Struthio camelus: one gene and its partner. The protein of the gene in region 2 purifies or fractionates together with the protein of the main gene of each other region. This does not show direct contact. Links are inferred from orthologs where the notes say so. Each region holds a gene or a part of one and is shown on either strand. Other genes may lie near its edges. The genes, in order: protein mono-ADP-ribosyltransferase PARP12 and RNF114.

The links.
Region 1: the proteins of RNF114 (region 2) and protein mono-ADP-ribosyltransferase PARP12 purify together in Homo sapiens (affinity purification with mass spectrometry; 3 studies listed by BioGRID and IntAct, counting the BioPlex papers as one, with this or other methods). This does not show direct contact. The link is inferred for Struthio camelus from reciprocal best matches to the Homo sapiens genes RNF114 and PARP12.

What each region holds. Positions count from the first base shown.
Region 1 is NC_090942.1:63,881,503-63,893,583, reverse strand, and holds the start of protein mono-ADP-ribosyltransferase PARP12, read right to left. Parts: upstream 5,247-12,081; 5' UTR 5,200-5,246; coding exon 4,865-5,199; intron 3,939-4,864; coding exon 3,803-3,938; intron 2,742-3,802; coding exon 2,447-2,741; intron 1,459-2,446; coding exon 1,360-1,458; intron 173-1,359; coding exon 49-172; intron 1-48.
Region 2 is NC_090959.1:9,896,590-9,908,736, reverse strand, and holds the start of RNF114 (E3 ubiquitin-protein ligase RNF114), read right to left. Parts: upstream 5,623-12,147; 5' UTR 5,535-5,622; coding exon 5,386-5,534; intron 4,849-5,385; coding exon 4,698-4,848; intron 3,075-4,697; coding exon 2,968-3,074; intron 2,227-2,967; coding exon 2,112-2,226; intron 1,180-2,111; coding exon 1,072-1,179; intron 828-1,071; coding exon 762-827; 3' UTR 1-761. Other genes in the region: SPATA2 (spermatogenesis-associated protein 2), read left to right, coding at 10,292-10,609. UniProt on the Homo sapiens protein: E3 ubiquitin-protein ligase that promotes the ubiquitination of various substrates. In turn, participates in the regulation of many biological processes including cell cycle, apoptosis, osteoclastogenesis as well as innate or adaptive immunity.

The DNA of each region.
Region 1 (12,081 bases), on a different chromosome or scaffold from region 2:
TCCAGAGGGCAAACTCCGAACATTATTAAGACTTATAATAGTTTATACCTGGTTTTGCTGGGATCACAATATGCTTCTTCTATTTCTTCCATATTCTTCAAGTCTTTCCAGGTATTACCATCAGAGATCTGCCATCTGTATGGCAAGTGAAAATGAACTCTGATACACTTGTCTATAAAAGTAGGAGAAAGTAAGAGAGATATTATTTTTTCAGTCTATGAGGGGAAAAAAAAAAACCACAGCATTTCTGGGATAAACATCTAGCTGGTAAAAAGCATCAAATGCATGGTTATGGAAAGTGCTCACCTATGAAATCATTACAAGCAGTAGTTTAGATTTTCTGAGCTTAGGGAGAGGTTCAGTTTCTTTACCTACTAGATTCTCTTTGTGCATCAAAACTGATGGCAAGTCCTGCTATCACAAAAACAGTTGTGAAGGACTGTTTTTTTTTTTTTTTGGTATTTTTGATTTAGAAGACAGAAAATTTGCAATGGATCAAGGATCACAAGCTCATACAAGGCTAGTATTTCATAAAAGGAATAGTGTAGACTCAAGTAAAATTTCTTTGCTTAATCATTTAGCTCCCCAAGTGGTATTACTGAAAAAAGCAGGGTTCAGTTTTAGGACAGCAAATGAAGTCTCCAAATGAGCTAGCAGGCTTAAGGGTCCAGGCCTCAAAAGTAACAACAGTAGTGCCAACAGCAGCCCAGGTATTGCGGGGGTCACTCAGGAATCACTCAAAGTAGCAGTGCAGAGCTCCTGAACTGACAGGAGTGAAGATCAAATCAGCACAAATAGGCAGAACGCTAGTTTTCACTGGAGAGCAACAGGCAACACAACAGGAAAAGTCAAGAAGGCTGCACCACACAGTTCATACAACAAGATACGCAGTACTCCAGAGAGGTATTACAGGTCAAGAACATCAAGAAGGAAAAGGATGAGAAAAGGACACCCCAAGAAGTAAGTTGGCACAGCAGCATTTTCCCTGGACCAGTCAGAACATGATTAAAGGGAGACAGAGCTCAGACAGATAGAATGGAAGAGTGCTAGAAGAAACAAGGGACAATGCAGAGTTCACAGTGTCGTCTCTAGTCATGTGGAAATAGGAATCCTATCGTTCAGCAGTCCCTTACGTGAACCCAGCTGGAGCAGACAATCTCCAACACAGGCCAATATCACACCTTTTAGAAGAAGTCAGAACAGCTCCTTTGTTAAGTAAGCCAAGTAGGTCAAACACTTTCTCTGCAGCCCTCAAGAGAAGTGTAAGCTCTGAAATTTCCACTTTCTGTGAAAAGCATCTATTGTTTTCTTTTTCTAAGAAAAGGAAAATAAAGTAGACTTGCTATGATCACAACCTACCTTTAAAGCTACAACTTTTGTATAGATGATATAAACAGATCTGTTCCAATTTGTCATCATTCGTAGTTGAGGACTCTTGACTAGAGCTGCGTTTTCTCTCTAGAGGGGGAATTACAAGCCTTGTTAATACGCATTGTTTCAACAAGCCCTCCTACATGGGCATCTATGGCTAGGGCCTAGAAACAGGGTTTGTAACTATGTAACTGAGTTCAGCTCAGGAAAGACACTGAAGTCTTTGATAATCTTATACACACATAAGTCCTATGCCTTTCTGAATGATTTTCACACAAGTGCTAAATTCCTCAGATTCAGTTTGTAGCTATCACCACAAAATAAGAAGGGAATCCAATGCCTTTGCATTTCTAGACAGACTGGAATTATCTGTGCATTCCACATAGCTGCTCATATTGACATCTATAAAATTCAGAGTTTCGAAATCTGGTATTTCTGTAAATCAAAACGCATTTCCAGAAACAGAAGGTAAGATGGAATTGCTAGGAGAACAGCAAAGACAAATACACGCACACACACACTTGGATTTTCCACTCTTATCCTTTTCCCTGCTAAATTATACTTGACTGACAACTATAAGGAACTTCAAAAGACAAGAACGAGCAAAATAGCAATACATTTTTGAGAAGTAACTAGGATTCTGCTCGCTGTGATTTTTTGTGCTAGACAACAGCTAGATTAAAAAAATAAAAGGGAGAAAGGAGTAGTTTACAAACACACAAATAAACGCCACCTCTGTTCTTAAACAGTTCTCTACTCCTCTTCTGTGATTTTTCTTGGTGAAAACATGAAGTCTCTATTTTCTGGTCCTGTTATGCTCTTCTAACCCAAGCTTTAAGATTTTTATAAACACCAAGCACTTTACTCCTCAGGCACCCATAATGCCTTGGAATTGATTTCACCTGAGTTTTTGAGACACAACCTCTGTCAATGACTTGGGTGCAAGGTAGCAAGTTCAGTTTTCTTTTTTGTTTTGACAGCCGTGTTAATGCCACAGTTAACATAAACGTGTCTAAATGTTAAGTTCACTATCCTAACTCCTCCTCTGATGTTTTCAAAAGATGATGCGATTTACCTTTGCATGGTGAAGACTTGCCATCTTTTGTGTCGTACACGTTCGTGGTGCCATTTTTTATGTCATACATGTTCCTGTAAGTGGAGGGTAGTTTCTCAATAACGTCTGAGCTCATTCCCTGTCTCTCCAGTTTCTCATAACATTCCGAATTTAAGAAGTCATGGGATCGCTTGCAGCTGCTGCCAAATCTGCATTGTCCCTGCAAGAAGTACTGGCAAATATGCAGTTTGGTGCAGATCTTTTTATAGGTACAAGATCCATAAGGTCCATCACCTTTGTTATAATGCAAGCAGACCTTGGTAGGGAAAAAAAAAGAATTTAAAGATTGAAGTATAATGTACTCAAAATAGACTGCTTTAATTTAAGAGATTTTACATTTTTACAGTTGCAATTTCACATTTGCATTTAAAAGACTTGTGCATGTTTCTTCTTTTCCAAATGATTACTTGATAGGTTTTTCCTTTTCCCCACTGACGTTTAGAAAGATATTTCATCAGACAAGAAACAACTATCTTACAAACATTCTCAAGCAACTGGGATTTTATCCTAGATCACATAAATGCAGGACAGTGGATTCTATTGTGGCATACTACTCTAAACTCCCTGCCTTTCTAGTTTTGGAAAGGTGAATTTTTTGACCTTAATTTGGTAGTGAGAGAAGAGAGGATACAGATTTAAAGTTTTAGATCTGGATTGTTCCAACCTGAACTGATTCGTCCTTTCTTTTGAAAATCTAAATGGTTTACTCTCAACTGAAGATGTATATTATAATTATCAAATACTAATATCGGTAGAGAATGATCTACAAAATACCAGTACATGCCATACTATATATACACCAGAATGCCTTCAGAAGATTGAAAAGCTGCCAACCAATGCATGTAGTTTCTTGAAGATTTCCGAGTGAACCACGGACAGAAGAAACATTTCTATTGCCTAACACAAAGATATGTCCACTTCCAGTGACAATAAACTCAACGCCTATCAATTCACGGTAGAGCTCTATCCCTTCACAGTACTACAATCTGCAAAACTCTGACTGGAAAACAAGACTGGAGAGGCAAGGGTAACGCAGGCCAATGCCCACATACAAAGACTATGAAGGGAAGAGGGTTCAAACTTACAGTTTTCTTCTGCAAGTACTGTTGTACTTCACTCATTCTGTTCAATTAAACTGTTCACAGAAGTGAGACTAAGCAAAAACAAAGTCTGTCAGCTCACAGCCTATGACCATGAACATTTCTCAGCACAGCGTTTGTCAACACTGTGTACGTATCTCCAGCTAATATCCAGCCTCTTCCACTTAGTGATGCTCACAGAAGTACAGAGATAAGAAATTGCTGCAGTATTGCTTACCTCTGGTAGGAGCGAAGGGTCATTTTGAAGAAGCAGCTGGCGGAGTTCATCACTGTTTAAATTCTCAAGTCCATACTGTTTTAGCACATAGAGATTGTGCTCCGAGTGAAAGTTGTGAACAAACTTGCATTCCTTCCTACAAGACAGCCAAACGTAAAATTAACGTAATAGATCGGCACAATTTTGCTATCCCATCTGTATTGCACTAAACAGCACACCAAATCAGATTTTTTTCCGAAACTGGCTATAGTGCGTCCTCATCAAGCAATTATGTGATTTGCCTAGCAGCTTACATAATTAGTCTGTGGATAATTACCATTTTATTTCTAATTTACAGTCATTACGGCATTAGCATAGTCTGGCAACATTGGCGCTTTTGACCGGCAGCTCCCGGCAAAACGACACAGGAGAAGCACCACCAAAAAGCCAAAACGCTGCCACCGACCCCGACCCACGCGGCAAACTCAGCTCCGAAACTCAGCGCTGTATGAAGTGCTGCGACCCCTCGGCCGCGCTCGGTCTTCGCCGCGGGGCTAGGCCGAGCTCTGGGCCTAACGGATGCCCTGCAAGGGAAGCGATACGAGCTGGGCGGCGAGCAAGGAAGGAAGTGTTGCAACCGAAGCAAGAGTCGGTAAAACAACCTCCGATATCTCTCCCCCTAGGGGGAAGGAGAAAAGGGAAAAAAACAAAAAAAAAAGGCATTCATTTAAAACACCCTCAGCGCCAGCAGCGGAAGGGCAGGCAGGTGTTTGCTGAAGGCTCGCTCCACGTCCGAAGAGGCGCGACAAACCCGCCGAGGACGGCCCCGTCGCACCCCAACAGGCCGCTTCCCCCGTCCCGGGAGCCGCCAAGAGGCGCTACCTGGCGCCGGACTCCCGCCCCCCGCCCCAACGTCCCCTCTTCCCCGCGCGCCCGTTTAACGGCCGCCGCTCCACGGCCCGGGGAAGCCGCCGGGAGACAACGGGGAAGCAGAGAGACACCTCCGCCCTGGGGCGGGGCGGAGTGGGGGTGGGGGGGTCGCCTCGCTCCTTCACTGCCCTCCGGCCCGGCCCGGCCCCTCACCTGGCCCGCTGGTTGCGGCAGACGCCCTTCAGGTGGTACTTGCAGAGGTGCAGCCGCCCGCACTGCCCCTCGCAGCCGGCGCCGTGCTCCGGGCACAGCCGCACGCCGCTGGTGGCCACCACCACCACCACCGCCGCCGCCGCCGCTGTCGCCCCTCGCTCGTCGGCCCGCGGCGGCTCCGGCCGCCGCACCAGCGTGAAGCGCTGCGCGTCCCGCAGCACCAGCTCCAGCTGCTCCGGCCGGAGGCAAGCCGGCAGCCGCCGCTGCAGCTCGCCCTGCTCCAGGCAGCCGCCGCTGGAGCACAGCACCCGCAGCAGCTGCCCCTCCAGCGCCATGCCGCGACCCGCAGCTCCCGTCCCGTCCCGGCTCGGCTGGGCGCCCCCGGGCAGCTCCACCCGGGCGCCTCCCTCGCAGCCAGCGGCGAGGAAATGAAACCGAAAGCGGCGCCTGGGGCCGCCCCGCCGCCAGGGGCCGCGCTGGGCGGGCCCGGCCCCGGCTCCTGCCGCCGAGGTTTTTAATTAACCTCGGTGCTGCGGGCCGGCCCCTGGGCCTGCCTCCTCCTGGCGTTTTGGTTGTCTTTCTTTCCGGGGAGAGGCTGCCTAGGTGTAGCCGCATTTGGTAGAAGGAGCTGCAAGCTCTCACGTCTTTTGTAAATGTAAGCGGGAAAGGAGAGACGGTAGCCGGGACTCCTTCCTCACCTCCCGTTACAGGAGGTTACGTTGCAGGGTGCTTTCAGCCGTCGTTAGGCACCGGAAAATCCAATTCTCCGTTAAGGTTTCTGAGCTGGGTGCTTTTCTGATGGCATATAAGGAAGGGTATTGAAGAATGAAATGAATTCCCATACTCCTTTCCTTGGGATATCTCAAAAACTCAGTCGTGGGCATGCATCCATTGGCAATGCTTCTTGCGCTACAGCCACGTCACCAGAGCACGGCCAGCTACCGTGATCACCCTCTGGGTGCTCATAGACTCTTTAGCGTGGGGACCATCTTTTGGGCATTTTAAGTGCCTTCCTCTTAGGGTCATGTTGGCACTGCTAGTGCTGCATCACATTCATTCAGAGGCATGCTTTAAATCATGAAAAAAAAAAAAAAAACCCAGAAAATACCATTCTCTTTGTTGGGCTGCCAGCAGCAGGCGTGGGAGCTGTTAAAGTTGCCAGTGTTTGGCGTTGAACAAAAGCAGTGTGTACTTCCTTCACCAGTGAGTTCTGTTGTGCCCTTGCTCAATTGGCTGCCTTCCCCTTGTCTCTTCCTATTTCCTGCTTCCCCTGTTAGATCGGGAAGGGAGTGATGAAAGGAGAAGCTGAACAAGTACATTCAGCACAAGAAGAGCTATAACAGGTCAGTTAGAGGTCCATGTAGGTCTGTAACCTACCTTCAACAAAGGCCGTCTACAGACGCCTAGAAGAGAGTGAGAGGCTGTAGAGGTACCTGACTTCCTCCCACCCTTCCAGTGTCCATTAATTTGATTTCCTGAACCAGAAGAAATGCCCTAATTTTATTAGGATTGTTTCCTATTTGTTCTCTTGATTCTTTTCATGGTTCTATAGCTACTTATCTCCCTTCATTGTCTCTTTCCAGTCTGAAGAGTTTGGATCTATTTTAGCCATCCTTTGTATGGAAGTTATTCCATAGCTTGGACCATATTTGTCCTCCTTCACTTTCTAATATAGTCTTTTCATTAAGGGCCAGACCTGCAGATATTATGCAGTGCATCAAAGGTACAGTGGCACAACAGCACTTTCTGTTTCGTTTTCTGCTGCTTTCCTAATAGCCCCTACTGTTTGATTTTATTGATGGCTTCTGAGCTTGGAACTGGTGTTTGCACAGAGTTATCCCATCATTATCCTTAGATCTCATTCCTAACTGGTAATAGTCAGTTCAGAAGTTATCACTGTCTGTGTGAAGACAGGACAGTTTCTGCCTTCTTGTGTTAATGTACACTGAATTTCAGCTGCCATTTTATCATCCAGTGTATCATAGGGTCTTTCAGCAGTTCTTCGTAATTCACCCTAATGATGATTTTCCTGAATAACGTAGTGCTCTCAGCAAGCCTTTTCACTTTGCTATTTATCCTCTTTTTCTGACCATTTATGAATATGTTGAATAGTACAGGCCTGAAGATGCGTACGCTGGGGGACTTCCCTCAGCTGTGAAGAACTTTTGGAAATCTTAAGTCAACAGTATGAACTTGGCTCTCCCTTGTCGACATACTTCTTGTTGACACCCTCTAATAATTTCAGTATGTGTCTGAGGTACACGTTCTCTACAGAGGCCTTGCTGGCTTTTCCGTATGTTAGTATAGTTTTTCTTGATTTGGCTTCCTGGTCTCTAGTTATCTGGATCTCCCCTAAGATCCAGGTGCCACATTTGCTACCTTTATGTCCTCTATTACCAGGGGAATTTTAAGTGAGAGCTCACACACCACAGATAGTAATTCCACTCTTTCCTCCCTGAGTTGTTCAAAACACAGGTGAAAGCCTCCTGATATCAGCAAGTTGTCAAACGTCAAATTGGTGGATAACTACGTATACTGGCACTTCAGTAGGAAATACCTTGACTGAACACTCAGATATTCCCATTCATAAAAGTCACGGAAACAAGCATGGTGCTAAGCAGCTCCCACTCATTCCAGTAGGCCTCCATTTACTTTTTTTGTCTCGTTCTCTAAAACTATCCTATTTAAGTGGGTCCCATCTTCTTACGTCTTAAACGTTTGTTTCAGCATCACTGTGCTGTCGAGGTTGCTGCTTCAACTGTACGTCCCCGATATCTTTTTCCCTCTTTCACCTAGAAAACAGCACCCAGTTGGCAGAAATAAATGAGGCTTTTTTTTTTTTTTGTCCTAAAATTTGTAGAATTGACTATGCCAATGTAGAGATAGAGGGAGAAGTACAAAGGAGAGCAAGGTAAGGTGTTGAGGGGTGTTGTTTGCAGGTGGCCTTATACTGATTGCAGTTTCTTCTGATCTGTTGGTGTGAATTTCACCAGGAAGTTCGCATTGCTGTTCCTGCTTTGCAGCTACATTGAATTTTTCAAGGCTCTGGAGCAGATCTAGCATTGTATCACTTTTCACAAGAACAGAAGTTATACTAGAACAACAGCCAATGATTGATGCAGCAAAAAGATTTGCAGCTGCCTTTGAACATTAAGTACCTTCCCATCCCCAGACGAATACCCAAAGTAAATCATAGCTTATTCCTTCTCACACAAATCTCTTGTAGTTTGTTTGGTAGCATGTTCCTCAGGAAGAAAAAAGTACCTCTTTGATTTGATACAACTTCCCCACCTATGAATTATATATAAGCAAAATTGTATTTTCTCCTTCTTTAGAAGAATTTTCTGCTAATGGAAAAGTAGCTTCTCATTTAGAAAATCAAATATCTCCAGTATAAGAAAGGGTTACATGAGACCTCAGGGCACATAAGGCAACTGGCTCCTCTTCACCTCCCAAATACCCTAATTAAAGGTAAGCCTCAAACTCTGTTTTGTTAAATGTCATTGTAACATAACGTATATGAACTATTCCACCTACAATTTACGGCTGCTTTATGCGTTGGACCTGTAATAAGCTCCCTTTAAGCAGTTCCTATGGTTTCTGAACACCTGCAGGACTCAGAGCACATGGATTTATGACAGTTGTGGGGCTTTAGATACAGTAGTTTCAGTGAGCCACCTTTGCTAACATGTGATGCATTGTGCTGTGGAAACTCCCCTTACAATTTTTAGATTAGATTAATCTAAAGTCAGTCATTAGATTACTATATATTTTTTTTTTGGTAAAAATTGATGGATAATTGTGTTATTTTGAATTGCAACATCATTTCATAATCTTGCGTATAAATCTTCAGAATGCAGTAATTTAATAATTTTCCAGTGGATTTGTGTACATATCTTTAAAACATCCATTGTTGTGATAGAATGTAGTGCCACCACTTCCCACCTCATCTATCTGTTTTTATCTGTTTTAGCCCTTCTCCTAGCTAGCATGGTGAAACTCCTGCCTTGGAGTTATTTGTAATGGAAACAGATGTACTGAGCCTCCCCTACAGTTCTGTGACATTTTTACGTAGGTAAGGAAAATGGACAGAAAAAGAGAGATCCTAGGCGTAGTTGTGAGCTTGAACGTTCTCTGGTGAAACATTACCTTCTGACTGACATAACTTTATCGTTGACCACCAAGGGTTTAGCAGTTTAGTGTGATATGTTTGCTTGCAAATGTTTTTGATCACCTCTCAGCCTACATTTCAATACACATTCGGAGTGTCCCTCGCACTATCCATGCATATCCAAAAAGGAATCTCTAAGAATAGGACTAATAATTTCCTCAGTGGTGATCTGACAGGATGGTTACTTTTGAATACTTGGCTGAACTTAAAGTAACTTTATCTGCAGCTGGTCCATTTTGTAGGAAATACATTGGCTTGTGTTTGCTATATAGTATTTCTGTATATTGCACTAATTTCTTCATTTATTATTTGTATTTCTGAAGTGTAGACTAACCGACATCTCTGTCAACATCTCTAATTGACAGCAAGCTTATATTTTTTAAAGATTTTCACAGTGGTACTCTAACCTAAAAATGAACCAACCAACAAAAGCCCCACAACTTGAAAGCAGGAAACTGAAAAACTCAACTCTGGTGCAGTACATGAATAACACCAGACTGTGGGGCTGTTGGCTATCCCAAAGATCTTTCAACCGCTCCAGAAAGCCGTATAAATCCTCATTTTTTACAACTGCCTCAGCACTGAGCTCATTTTCGAAGCTAACAGAAAAAACTGGGCGTGACATAGGACACCCGTTTTTTATCAAACTGTTAGCCCAGCAGTATATGTGAGAATTTCTATTGCTTACAGTTTTCACTGTTGCTTAAATACTTCACAAGTGGCCTTGCTCCTGAAAATCAAAATATTTTTGGCTTGGGATTCACAGCTCAATTAATGATACTGTTATGTGTCATTGGCACAGTTCTAGTTTTATTCTGATGAAGTTTTAGTTACATGGTGCAGATGTAAATGTTTGGTGCAAGGCTTTTGTTCTTCTCAGCTTTATACCCACAAAAAGGTTTTTTTTCACACAGACCTATTACCTTATGCACTGGCTCCTTCCATCGTACAGAAACCACCAGTTCCTAAGAACATCCTGTCTAGACTTTTCTTTCTTCTGCACGTCACTGCTGCCCATCTTGTTTTCCTTACTTTATTCCTGCAAGGAGTACACTCTGCTCCTGGGTCTGATCCCAAGCTCATTGGAGTTAATGTAGGAGGGAATCTTTCTATTGCTTTTGAGGGGCTTTGCCTGCAGTTCTCATTCCTGATGGCTGTTCCCCTAATCCAGTGACTCAAGAGACTCATCTCTTGCTGAAAAAGCAGCACAGAGCCCTGTCAGCTCGCATGTAGATATGCCCCTAAAACTTAGTGTGCGTTTGTTGGAACTAAGTCTCTGAAGCACAGCCCTATCCCGGGACCTAACAGTGTTAATGCCTTCTTTAATACTGCTTTGATCCTCAAATGAGCAGTAAGGGCTCAAACTGGATTTTGATTCACCTCTGAAAAGGCTGTGTGAATGGTAGTGTATATATGCTGGCTACATCTAAAACAGAATGTACTTAACAAGTGGCTTTGGTATAGTGCTGTCCAAGTTTATTGCCACAAGAGTTTTTTATGCCTCTGAAAACACCTGAGCCAACAAATTCATTCCTTTTAGGGCCAGGAAAGGTGTCATGATTATAATGGAAAAAACCCCAAACCAATTTATTTCAGATGAGTTTTTATGCTCCTGTCTCTCTCCATTTAGAATGGAAATTCAAGGTGAAATTTGTGCAAGGTGAGGGAAAAAAAAAACCCATGGGAACCAACCGGAACAAAAAGTTTATTGAAACAGATGCAAATAGTTTAGAAGCTCAAAGTTTAGAAGCCTTTTGTTGGCTCGGAACAGTTTTGCCTTCATTTGTCACCACATTATCCAACAATAATGTCTGCTGTCCTAATATATTGAATCTGAATATATCTGTTAATTCCTCCACTAAGCCTTCCACTTTTGGTGGGAGTGGCTTCCCTTTTGACAGCTAGTGAATAGCAATTCCATTTTCCTTAATGTACGAGTTGCCACCAAGCCACTTTTCTATGTATCATGGTTATTTGTTTTACACGCATGAGTTTAAATGAGCAACTCCAGCAGTTCAAGCAGTTGTTGTTACTTTTTCAGAATTCTTTATGATTAAAAAATGCAATTTGTCGGGAGCCAGAACGCAGTTACTGAATTCTGTGTAACTTTTCATTTTGCACTGCAGTCAGCAGCAGTGCGGAAATTGGCCTGGTCCTATGGTGCTTCATCCCATGTTAGACAAAATAGGAAATTCCATTGATAAGGACTTACCGCTAATGTCTCCGCTGGCAATGTGAAGAGATATGTTTAGGAAAACATGTAATCCTTATGAATACAAATTCTGTGTCTGCACGTACTAGTCATAGAAAACCATGCTATTTTATGTCTAGATTATTGGAATCTCTATAGCGTATAGTTACACTACATGTTCATCAAATAGGTTTGAAACATTGGACAGAAGCAGTCATTTGGATCATCAAGTCTAGTCCCTCAGAATCAGAGGCAACTCGTTTATTAAATATTCAGTTCAGAAATGTCCTCTGCTGAATCAACAGGCTCCCTGAGCCACAGAGACAGGCATCACATGAGCCACCTTTAGCACCTTAAGATTTGTAGTTAAAGAAAAAAAAAAAAGACACAACTCTCATCAAAAGAAGAAAGTGGCAAGTCATCACTAGTGTCCTAGACCCTTGAGACAGCATGGAATTTGTTAGGTAAAACTTTCAGTGATCCCAGGAAGCAGACCATGTCCATACTACACAGGACAGCAAATAAACAAACGTATCTCACCGATCTAACCTGGAAAAAGTTCCCTCAGGACTCTAAATCTGGCAATCAGCTTAACCCTTACTGTGTGAGTAGGGCACATTCACTAGATATCTAAAAAATGTTAATGTTACTAGCTTAATACAGTAAGAAAACTATTCCCACCCTTTCTTGTGGGGAAAAAAAATCCAAACCCAAATGGAGCTTTTTGCAGAGGTTCTGTAAAATTTATATACTTATTACCTCACTTACGGTTTCTACCCAAGAGTGAAACCAGAAGACTGTGGATAGCATGAGAAAAGATAGTTCTCGTTATACTTCTGGCCAATAGTCTAAATG
Region 2 (12,147 bases):
TAAAATGCATCTTTTTTTAAACTAAGACTAATAAAAGTTTATTTTCCAGGTTACAAACCATTTTTGTCAGAGTATGGAAGAAAATAACAGGCATGGAACTAAAGTATTTTGAACTAGTTTCTTACACAGTTGCACAGATTTGCTAGAGAAGATTGCAGTTTGAAGATCTGTACTAAAGATATCTTTTCCATACAGTTGAGAGGCTGACTATATGAATTCAAACACTGGTAAACATTACGAAGTCACAGTAATCATAGGCCACTTTAAATGGGAACTGATCTGGCAATTACAGTTAACACCTAGCATTCTTACTGAATGAAAACAGAGCTGTGAATACATCTCTGAAACTATCATTCAAGAAATGTGAATGAGAGATTGGGGAGAGTTATCTACCTACTAACTCAGGCCATTCCTTCTGGAATGTTTTTGCTTTTAAAGAGAGTCAAATGAACACAACTGCAGAAAAACAAGCATAGGAAAGAGAAAACAAACTTGTCTCCTTCATGTTGACCTATCATTAAGCTTTGTGTGAAGCTAGTAAGAAAACTAGGCTGACATGGTTTAACAGCATAGAACACGCTAACAAGAGACCAAATGATACAGAAAGACCAAATCAGGATTTGAAATCAAGAGATAGATAAAGAATCTTCCATATTTCTGGATGCCTGAGTTCATCTTGGGATGTAAAGGGAGAAATGCAATGATGCTGGGCACTTCTCCCCTCGTGGAAGCTTGGTTTTACAGTTAATCTTCTACTTGTTTCATTTATCACGCAAAGAACGGATCAAAACCTGTGCCATCATATCATCTTCATCAGCATCATAATCCTATGAACAAAGGGTATAGAAACTCAGCCATACTGCAACAGCCACATTAGTTAGTTCAACACCAAGAAAACTCAGAAAATAGCTGCCTCATCCTTTGACTTGCCAATAATACAATTTCTCTAAAATAATGGATAAATTGATTATTGAGACATCATCTGCACAAATCAGATTTCACAGTAGCAGCTATGCAAAAAAGCTGGATTTTAAGAGTCAGCCTGTATTCCAAAGGTAAGAAAACACATACCACGAAAGTATCGTATGAAAAGCGATGACGCCTCTGAAGGTGCTCCATGAAGTTAGCACTCCTGTAATTTGGATCTCCCCATGGCATTGAGGCACAAATTGGGCAGACCTTCAAGAAAAAAAAAAAAAAAAAACCACCCAACAAGAAAGCCAATTAAGTACCAATGATTAAATGCTTTAACGTTTACACTGGGAAGGGCAGGACAGAGACAATATGGAAGACTAAAGCCTGAGGTTTGCGACAGTCACTACTCTATATGTAAAGTGATTTTAGATTACTTTACTAGGACTGTCAATAAAAAAATTTCAGATAACCCTACATTATTTCCATTTGATTTTTAGACCTCTGAACTGGAATGGTTTAGGGTCTTCTCCCTATATACTGGAAATTAGAGTTATTGAGTACAGTGTTTACTGTGGCGATTTCATCCCTCTTTTCTCAATAATAGAGCAGTTTCCTTGAACTCTTTTGCAAAGATCACTTCTCTCAAAGTGAAAGAAGTGAACTTTTTTCCTAAATTAATAATTTTGAATTCCAAAAAACACTTTCAAGACAAATGAAAGTTTCAAAGTGAGTTCCAAGTTTTGCGATTCCTCCTGTACGTGAGGGAGCAAAAGCAGATAAAGATTACTAGAGGGAGATGCAACTTTTTCCAAGTATTTTTCACATGCATTTATAACAGATCTTCTTGCTGAGAATAGCATAGAGAGATCTTAAATAACAGTAAATATCTTTTTGAAATTATATGAATGATATTATGCTTATTAGCATGCATAATTTACTTCAAATGCCTGCCATTTCTCAAATAAGAAAAGGAAGATGTGAACTACAATAGGACTAGAGAAAGTCACCTCCAGCAAACGTTTCCGAAACCACAATTAAGTAAAACTTAAGTGCGTGAACAGCATACCCACACTTGACTTTAACAGAAGCGATTATAAACATGTACTTAACTTCAAGCAGCAAGTCTCTAATTCATTGTTTCAAAGGGATTTAAGACTAGACTTCATTGCAATTCTTGAATCAAGACTCATTATTACCACTTGTTTTGCATCCAGGCTGTGCAGTGTTTTGCAGTGTTCAACTAGTCCTTCTTGATCAAAGTTTTTCTCACTACAGTACGGACAAGGAAAGGTAAAGCGATTTGGAAAGTTCCTGGTTGCAGGGAGGAAAAAGAGACTGTTTCAGGAAAGCTAAACTTAAGAACATTGGGAATAACTACTTATCTTACCAGCTATTTAGAATACAAATTATTCAAAGCAGTAATTTCATTCTACGCAATTAAGGCAAGCTAATTTCAAGAATCAGCTTCTTTATTCCTAATGATATCTTAAAGAACTTTTAATATCATCCATATTTATACAAAACTACTTCTCTTACAAATGTTACAAATGCCATTTATCAGTTTGCTTTCTTATATATATATTTTTTAAAAAGGCACAGTCACACACCCAACACGCTACAATGCGGCTCACTGCAACTTCCCTTCATTGTAAGTTACTACAATCAAGAGACAGAAAGACAAAACTATTACTTAACACCTCTCCCACCCCCCTTTAACTAAGTACCCTGATCTTGCACTAAAACATCCATGGATAACATCACAAATTAGAACAGCTTGCCTGTGCATAGTCTGTTGTTAGGTTGAAGGCTTAGTTTAACAATATGAGAGGATTAAAAGAATTAACACCCAAACTGAGTGAAGAGGTAAAGTCTGCTTTTACTCCAGTATTCTACAGTTTGCATGACACATCATAACACAGTCAACTTTTGTTTAAACAAGATAAAAGGACTGTTCTCAGAGCAAGAATCAATTTTTAAGTTTCATAATGATTAAATATTTACAGCCCAGTTTGTGGTATCAAAAAATAGCACGTCAAGAGAAGAGCTAGTTACCTGGTGTTGTTAAGGGGTTCTTTAGTTACAGCTTTTACACCTTCCATTATATAATTCTGGTACTTTGAACAAGAAGCTGCATGGCTACGCATCTTTGAGAGATACATCTGGAGAGACAACAATTAAACAGCAAACTCAGTTTAAACTACTTGCAGTCACTTTCACTTTCAGGCTTTTAGGCAGAAGAAGTAAACGATACGCAAAAGAAATAGGCTTTCTATAGAAAATGCTGAAACAGAAAAACAATTAGGCTGATGAGACAGAAAACTGTCAAGACTACGTACTAGTTAACCAGTAACTTTGTTGCCTGTAATATGTTACCAATACCATGCTGTTCAGGACAGCTCACTTTTCCTAAGATGTAATATAAAAGTTTCATATAAAGCCAGTTTATCTGGTTGCTCAGGAGAAGAGCCAATACGGGTAATAGCTTCGCTTTTTGTAATTGATCTACACCAAGATCTGTACTGCAGAACGTTGTCAGATACGCAGCACGTACAACGAAGGAACGGAGACGAACCTGACTTCACAATTTCTACTTGCAAAAGCCTGAAGGTTTTTTTCTTTGCAAAAATCCATTTTATGCTTGAAGTCTGGCTAACAATCGATTTCAAACATGCTTTAAATTAGATCCGAATCTTAATAACCCTATCCAAGCTAGAAAGAACAGTGTTTTTAGGAGGAGTAAGAGGTACAAAAATAGGCAATAACTCAGGAGGATTAGATACTGATTAGCAGTAGATGCGAGATAAAGATATAGCTAATGTATCAGCCTCCATCAAAAACCAAGTGCAAGTCTGACAATCGTGTTTCAAGCATTATCCCACTAATGAAAACTGAAATTTCCTGTAAGGAAATCTACAAGTCAAGGGACTGCAATTTTATATCAGCCAGAATAAAAAAGGTGATACTACTCAGAAATCAAAAGTGAAACTAACAGAACAGATACTCTCACCTTGTTTATGAGAAATATATAACAGCAGTAGTGCAGGAGATGAGGAACTTTGTTTTTTTAATAAAAAGAGAGCTGTAAAAGTTCAGTTAGCATAATGACATTCTTTAATGAGTTTTAAATTAAAGATTTTAGCTTTACAAGTGAACCAATTAATCTGAGGATTAGATACAGGACCATATGAACTACAAAGCTGCAGTTTTGGTGTAATATGCATCTAATTAACCTTTTCTCGCTGTCTTTCCATCTGTCAAGATATTTTCCCGTATATTGGGACAATGCTAAGAAGCCCAAACTTACAAAGAGGAAGTAAATGATAAGAGGGTGTCCTCTAAGTGTTTCATATGCAGGATTTTACCAAACAGTAAAATATATGGAATATACTGCTCATATAGGACAGCTTTGTCTCATAACTATTTCTGAGGAAGCAAACAAAGTTCTTCTGTTTAAAAGCCTAGGCTCTCAGTGTTTAAAACCACATTCACCATTTCCTTACAGCGTTACACCCACAGACATCCTCGTAGCAATATTTTATTATTATTTTTAAACCAACACAGCATCTCACACTCAGAATTCACTTCCTAGGGAGGTAACAATAAAGACTGTGGAAAAACGTCAACATTTAGGAACGACTTACAAAAAAAAAGTGCCTGTAGTACTTAAAACAAGCATTTGACCTGTTGTTGCAGAAAGCTGAAGAGCAAATACTTTACTTCCCTCTAAGCTGTAGGACTGAACAGGAACACTTCAGGCACTTGGTTTTCAAACGCTTTCCTACCTTTTTATTGCAGCCATTGCAAGTGGTTTCCGTCATTTCAATTTGCTTCTCCAGGTCCAGAGCTCTGCTACCAGGAGACAGGGTACTGCGGCAGACGCCGCAAACAGGCTTTTTCGGCTTGAGACATTCCTGCAGGCACGGAGTGCAAAAGCTAGCATGGGAGAAAAACAGCAAGCGGTGAGAAGGACGCTCCTTACAACTCGATTAAAACACTCAGAGACCTGCCATGCCCCCTGTTATTAGCGATAAAGGAGTCACAAGAAGCGACAGCGGCCGGCTGACATTTGTGCCGTGTGACGGGAGGTGCAGTCTGGGCCATCACAGTCGGAATTATCAGATTTTCGACAAATCTCTATCTCCACCAGCTTTCACAGGTGGGGGGAAGCTACCGAACGCACCGCGCCGCTGTTTTTGTGTCAAGCGAGGCTCACGGCGCCCCTACAACGGGCTAAAGCGCGCAGCTGCCTGCAGACCCCCGTCCCCTCGGGCAAGGCCGCTTCACCGACCTCCCCCTACGGGAGCCGGGCCCGCCCGAGCCCGGCCCGGGGCCGCCCCCGCCGCGGCCTCTGCGCCCGCCCGCCGCCTCGCGGCCCGCTCACGGCACCCGGTCGAGGAAGGGGCCCGCGGGCCCGGAGCCGCCCCCGAGGCCCCCACGCCGCGCCGCGCCGCGCCGCCGGCAGCCGCTCACACATGTCCGCAGGGCACGCGCACCGGGCTCTCGTACACCTCCAGGCACACAGGGCAGGTGAAGCGCGACAGCGGGTCGTGCCGCCGCGCCGCTGCCGCCACTGCCCGCTCCGGAGAGCGCGAAGCACCACCTCCACCGGCCACCGCCATCTTGCGGCGGCCCCACCGCCCCCTCGGACCTCCGCCTCCGCGCGGGCCCCGCCCCGAACCCCCAGCCAATCGCGAAGCCGCCCGCGCGCAGCCGCAGCACAGATCCCGGCGCCGGGGCGAGCACGGCGAGGAGACTCCCGCCCCGCGGGGGCGGGCGAGGCCCGGCGCAGGGGGCGTGGCCCGAGGTTGGGGGCGTGCCCAGGGGCCGGAGGGGCGTGCCCAGGGGCCGGGGGCGTGGCCGGGGCGCCCCGGGGCAGGGCCGCCAGTGGCGCGGGGCAGCCGGTGGCGGCGCGGGCAGCAGGGCGAGCGCCGCCGGGGGCCGCCCGCCTCGCCCGGGCCTGCGGAGCGGCCGCGGCCCGGGGTGAGGCAGGAGGCGGCGGTTCTGCCTGGCGGAAGAGAAAAGGAGCGTTTTTACCAACAGCTAGAGCAAGGCCGCGTGAAAAATTGTAGATGGCGCGGGCTGTTCCCCCCCCCCCCCGCCCCCGGCCTCAAGGCCGCCGCCGTCCGCGTTTAATTGGTGCCGCTGTTGGTTGCCGGCGGTTTTCGGCATCTTGCGGTCGGGGAGCGTCGTGCCGTTTCCCCCTTGCTCTCGCGGTCCGGCTGCGCCGGCTGGGGCGCGCCGAGCTGGTAACGGGAGGACAACGCAGCTCCTGTCGGCGGTGGGCAAGCCAGGGCACCGCAGAAGCTGTTTATAAAACGATAAAGGCGTCACGATCCCTTCTGTTAGGGTCGTGGCATAAACGCCTCGTGCCGAGGTTGAACGGACGCGTAATTCCCTGCAGCGGCTGCTTTTCTCCTTCCCTCGCGGCTGTGACCACCTGGCGGGGGAGCCGAGGGGCGGATCCGCCGCCGCCTTCAGGCCTTTATTCCCCGTGTCCCCCCGACGCTGGGTGCGCGGGCGGCCGCGGCACCAGCCGCTCTCGTTCCACGCGCGAGCGCGCCAAACGCCCCCCGGCTCCTAAAACACAAGGGGCGAAGGGCGCCGAGCGCGGCCCTCCCGCGCCGGCCTGGCCCCGAGCGGCTGGTCCCCGAAACGCCCTGCTCTGACCCCCCTGCCGCCCCCGCCTAGGCTGCTCCCCAGCCCGGGGGGCCCTGGGGGGGTCCCACAGCCCGGGGGGGCACAACCCGGCTGTCCCCTCGGTCCGGGGGGTCCTGGGGGGGGTCCCACAGCCCGGGGGGGCACAGCCCGGCCGTCCCCTGGGTCCGGGGGGTCCTGGGGGGGGTCCCACAGCCCGGGGGGGCACAGCCCGGCCGTCCCCTGGGTCCGGGGGGTCCTGGGGGGGTCCCACAGCCCGGGGGGGCGCAGCCCGGCCGTCCCCTGGGTCCGGGGGGTCCTGGGGGGGGTCCCACAGCCTGGGGGGGGCACAGCCCGGCCGTCCCCTGGGTCCGGGGGGTCCTGGGGGGGGTCCCACAGCCTGGGGGGGGCACAGCCCGGCCGTCCCCTGGGTCCGGGGGGGCTCTGGGGGGGTCCCACAGCCTGGGGGGGCACAGCCCGGCCATCCCCTGGGTCCGGGGGGTCCTGGGGGGGTCCCACAGCCCGGGGGGCCACAGCCCGGCCGTCCCCTGGGTCCGGGGGGGCTCTAGGGGGGGGTCCCACAGCCTGGGGAGGCACAGCCCGGCCGTCCCCTGGGTCCGGGGGGTCCTGGGGGGGGGTCCCACAGCCTGGGGGGGGCACAGCCCGGCCGTCCCCTGGGTCCGGGGGGGCTCTAGGGGGGTCCCACAGCCTGGGGAGGCACAGCCCGGCCGTCCCCTGGGTCCGGGGGGGCTCTAGGGGGGGGTCCCACAGCCTGGGGAGGCACAGCCCGGCCGTCCCCTGGGTCCGGGGGGTCCTGGGGGGGGTCCCACAGCCCGGGGGGGCACAGCCCGGCCGTCCCCTGGGTCCGGGGGGCGGACACGGGGGTCCCTCCGCCCGGAGCCCCTCGGCCGGGGGAGTCCGACACCCCGAGCCCCCTCCCCCCCGCCGCCCGCACCGCCCGCTGACGTCACACCGCGGACCCCCCCCCCCACCGCCGCAGGGGGAGGCGCCGCTTCCCCCTCTCCCCCCACCCCCCGCCCGCCGCCATCCACTTCCGGGGTGCCGCCGTCGCCCTCCGCGCTCGCCACCGGGAGCGCCCGCGTGGTCGGCGACGGGAGGACAAGCGGCGAGGAGGGGGTGAGCGGGGCGGGGGGCGCAGCGCGGCCTTGGGGGGGGGGGGCGGAGTCTACATCCGGGTCACCGGGCGCTTCCTGCCGGCGGGCCGGGGCGGCGGCGGTGAGTGCGGGCCGGGGCGGCGGCGGCCCCCGAGGGGCGGCGGCGGCTCGGTGCCGCAGCGGGGCCGCTCCGCGGTCGCTGCCGGCTCCGGGGCCTCGGCGTTTGGCTGCCCGAGCTTCCCCCGCGCTGCGCGCCGGCTGAGAGGGCCGAGGCTCGGCGCGGGGGCGGCCGCGGGCCGGCCGCTCTCCGGCCTCCTCCGCTGGGCGCGCCTTGGGCCCGGCTTCCCGTCGGTAAGGCGGCGCGGCGCTGCCCGTCCCGGCGGCGGGCCCGTCTCTCCCTCGGCGCTGTGTGCCCCTGCGCCCCGGGGGCCGCCGCGAGGCCGGTCCGCTGCTGGCGGCGCCGCAGCTCTGCGGAGGTTCGTGGCTTCCTGGCGCTCGTCGTGTTCCGTTTCGCAGCCGCCTGAGCTCCGGCCTGCGCGCCAACGGCGGGTCGCGACCGGAGCTGCCAGCGGCTTTGAATGTCACGGGGCGTGAGGCCTTGATGAAGGGCTTTCTCTTCCTTCGGGGACTTTCCCGAGCGTGGCGTCTTGTACGTCTGAGCTGTTTCGTTAAGCAGCTGTCGACGTTACAGGTGGAGGAGCTGCTCCTTAATCCAACTCCTTACCGACGCAAGATCATCCCTTGTCCTAAGGCTGTGCTATTGGCGTGCCAAGCGAAGAGCTCTGTCTGCGCTTCTCTCGTACAGCCTAGCTACAGCTGTTCTCGCTAAGTTACAGAAATTGTGTTGTTTTTGTCCACAGACTTCGTCTGACACAAATTAAGAGGGAAAAATCCTGGAGGGAGGGAGAGAAGTGAGCGCTTTGTGGAAAGGACTGAATTACATTCTTACTTCTGCCCCTTGTGTTAAGATGTTAATTTAGAACCCCGTGTGTCCTGTGATTCACAGCTTCTCTCCCGACATCAGTGCGTTTCTGCTTGTGCAAAGACCAAGAGCAGTATGCCTCTGAGCAGAAATTGAGCTGCTGGTTAACTTTTCCCACACGATGCTACTGTTAGGCACATCCTCTCATCAAGCAAGATTAGTTGCTAGGCTGTTGGGCCTTCTTGTTTCTACCCTTTTTTCCTTTTTTTTTTTTGTCATGTATTTGTGTTATGGCTCCTTTCATTCAGTTCATCTTGCACTTAGAGTGATTTTTTTCAATGTCCTCATAGGCTTCTGCTAAAATAATCAGCAGTCTTATGGCTGCTGAAATTAATATTGGGTGGGAAGTCTTTCTAAAATGCTGTTTCAGACTGACTATAACTGATACAATGGATTGTGTGGGGTTTTTTCTTCTTTTTTTGTTTAGAGCTAGGAAGCGTATAAGGACTAGGATTGTGCTGTCTTTTAAATAAAAATAGCAGTACAAAAAAAATAAAGCCTGTGATCTGCTTTCTGATCACAATTTCTTCAGGAAATTTAGATGGAGTCTGTTGACCTGTTAGTTACCTTGGCTTTGGTAAAGTAATGTTAGGAAGCTTATTTTCTTACCAGCTTTTTCTGTGTGGGAGATAAGAACTCAATGAGATGAAAAAGCATAGTCAGTAATACGTAAAAGCAACCAGCCCTGCAAACAAAATGACATAAACACAGAAATGATTTTGCTCTGTTCTAATAAAGCAGTTAAAATTGGTAGCTGTAGCTTTCCATCGAAAAGGTTACAATGCTACTACTAGCATTTGGCTAAAGCTTTGGCTGTACTTTGCAGTGTTCGGGGGCACATGTGCTCTCTAGGGGGTGGCTGCAGCGTACTGCCGGCACCACGATGGCCGGGGTGTGCCGTTGGATAGAATGAGTGGTGTTCAAAAGCCTAGAAAATGTTAGAAGTAGAAAGGCTAAGTGTATTAATCTGCTCAATTCTATGGGCCGAGCCTATGCCACTAGCAAAAAGAGAAGTATATGCTTTCCTAATCTGAGCAAAAAGAAACTTCTTTTTGGGATTTTGTACCTTTATATCTCTGTGCAGGGCAAACGAAATAAAACAGTGACCAATTCTCGTCATGTTTGTACGATTTGTTTGAATCGAAAAGGCGCGATAAAAGAAAAAGAGAAGACGCCCTAAAAACCCCTGCTTTTGTCTTTCGGTCTTATGTTGTGAGTTACCTTCGCTGTTGTTCTCTTAGCCAAGGAATCCTCAATCTGGACTTGAATTTCCACCAATTTTCTGGTATCACACTCTTGGTGCCTTGCCCCATTTAGCTTTCTGGTGCTCTGTTTTAGACAGTTAACTGGGGAAAGGAGTAGAGAATAGCAGTGAAAAGGAGGACACCAACATTTCTGTAGGCTCCTGTGCTTTTTCAGAACCCTAAAGAGTCTGTTCTGGGAGCCCCTGCACTGTGAATGATTTTATAGAACCCTGTGAGGCAAATAGATGCTATCGACATCTGTGATGACTTGTCTTTTTCAATTTTTATTCCAGAAGAGTTGCCATTACTGAAGATTCTTAATGCCAGATAATCAACCTACTGTGGAATAACCATGAAAGAGATGAGGTAGCTGCCGAAGTGTGAGACAAAATCTGATTTCAATGGATACAAAATATAAAGACGATTTATTTAGGAAGTATGTACAGTTCCACGAATGCAAACTGAACGCCTCTGACAGCAAGCAGCGTCCTATTAATGATGAATATTTGCGAGTGGCGGCGTCAGCCTTACTTTGCCTTCCCAAAATTGATCCCTTTTATAGATTCCGGTTGATAAAATTTTATGAGATGGCTGAAAACTCCCTGAGATCGCTGAAATCCTCAAGTTTACATTCTCTCCATAATGCGTTCAGCGTGCTCGAGACAGTTGGAATTAATCTCTTTCTTTACCCCTGGAAAAAGGAGTTCAAAAATATTAAGGTAAGATATTTCATATGTGGCAGTAGCAAAAACGTGTGGTTTTTTTGGCGTCTTTCATGCATTTCCTTTGAAGATATTTTTCCACTCCTTAAGGCAGCCTAATGTATATATTTACATTTGTCAACTGCACACAGCTGGTAAACAGAAGTCATAGGAAAGGTTAGGTGGAAAATACGTGGATTTTGTATTGGTGAGAGTGTCTGGATAGTGGAAGTCAAAATCCTGTCTTCATTCGTAAAATAACCTTAAAATAGTGGAAGAACTTATCTAATGGTTTTGTTCAGACTCTCCTGCTGCTATGCCTTATTTTCTACTTGGAGATGCTCTTACTAGGGCGAGTGATTAGGTTGCATGTAAGCTCACTCAAAGTTTGTTCTTTATGCTGCATCTGCTCTTAATTTAGCACAAGTACTAACAATCAATCCGTGCTTTCAACTCGATGCGTTGCTGAGGTTTCCACAAGTTATATAATAATGGTGAGCAAACATCTCTAAATAATAGTTTCAAGAATGTCTTTTACTTGCTTGTCGGTTCTCAACTTATGAAGCTTTGATTTTAATGTACTTTCAAATTATTTACTTTTGCCAGGATCTTGGAGTGAAATGTAGGAACTTGTGTATTGCTTGATTTGGATACTAGAAGACAGCTAATGAGTTCTCTGCTGTCGATTTCCTGTTTTATCTTTTACCTCTCCTTATATGCTTGTTAAAAGCTGCTGCAGTGTTTCAGTAGTACGTGCTACAAGTGACTTAAAAGAACTGTTTTGAAACCTGAAGTTAGAATAAAAAGTGTTTCTGGCATAGGTGTCTAAAATGCGTTGTGGGTTGCTTGTACCAGTGATGGGTATTTTTCTTTTATTTTTCCTCCCCCCCCACCCCCCCCAAGTTGTTTCACAGTTGATCAGAGAATTTGAACATTAATGGAGTGTTTGAGACTCCTCTGCCTCTCTTAAGAGGAAACTTCCATTCCTCCAGATTTCCACGTAGGTCAGCTTCATCATTATGCTTAAGTTCAGGCTTTTGAATTGTTGGATGGTCCATGCAGGATGTCTCTTGATGTGCGGCTGCTGATGGTGGTGATTGGTTGTGCACTGTGGATCAACATTTGTTCAGTACAAGGATCTGATGGCCAAATTATACCTGCTTGCAATCAAAAACAATTTGACCTGTGGTGAGAACATAGCTCAGGTATACTAGAGGCTAAGGGAACTAACTCATGCAAATTGGTGTGTGTATATATATATTTTTAACTATAAATTCTTGACCTAGTTTAAGATTACAGAAAACAGCCATTCAAAACTGTATAGTAGTAGTACACTAAAGTGGTAAAAGTTTTTATTGTACACAGTACCGAAAACTGGCTAAGTCTATTCAGATATTCTAAAATGTTATCTGAATTTCACAGTGAAATGGACATTTTGCTTTTCCAGGTAAGAGACTTAAACTTTGCTTGTGGTTTGGCACGTGCATCTGAACTTGAAACTATCTAGCCTTAGTTGCTTGGGTTACTATTTTAAAATCTTCCCCTCAATTATTCCA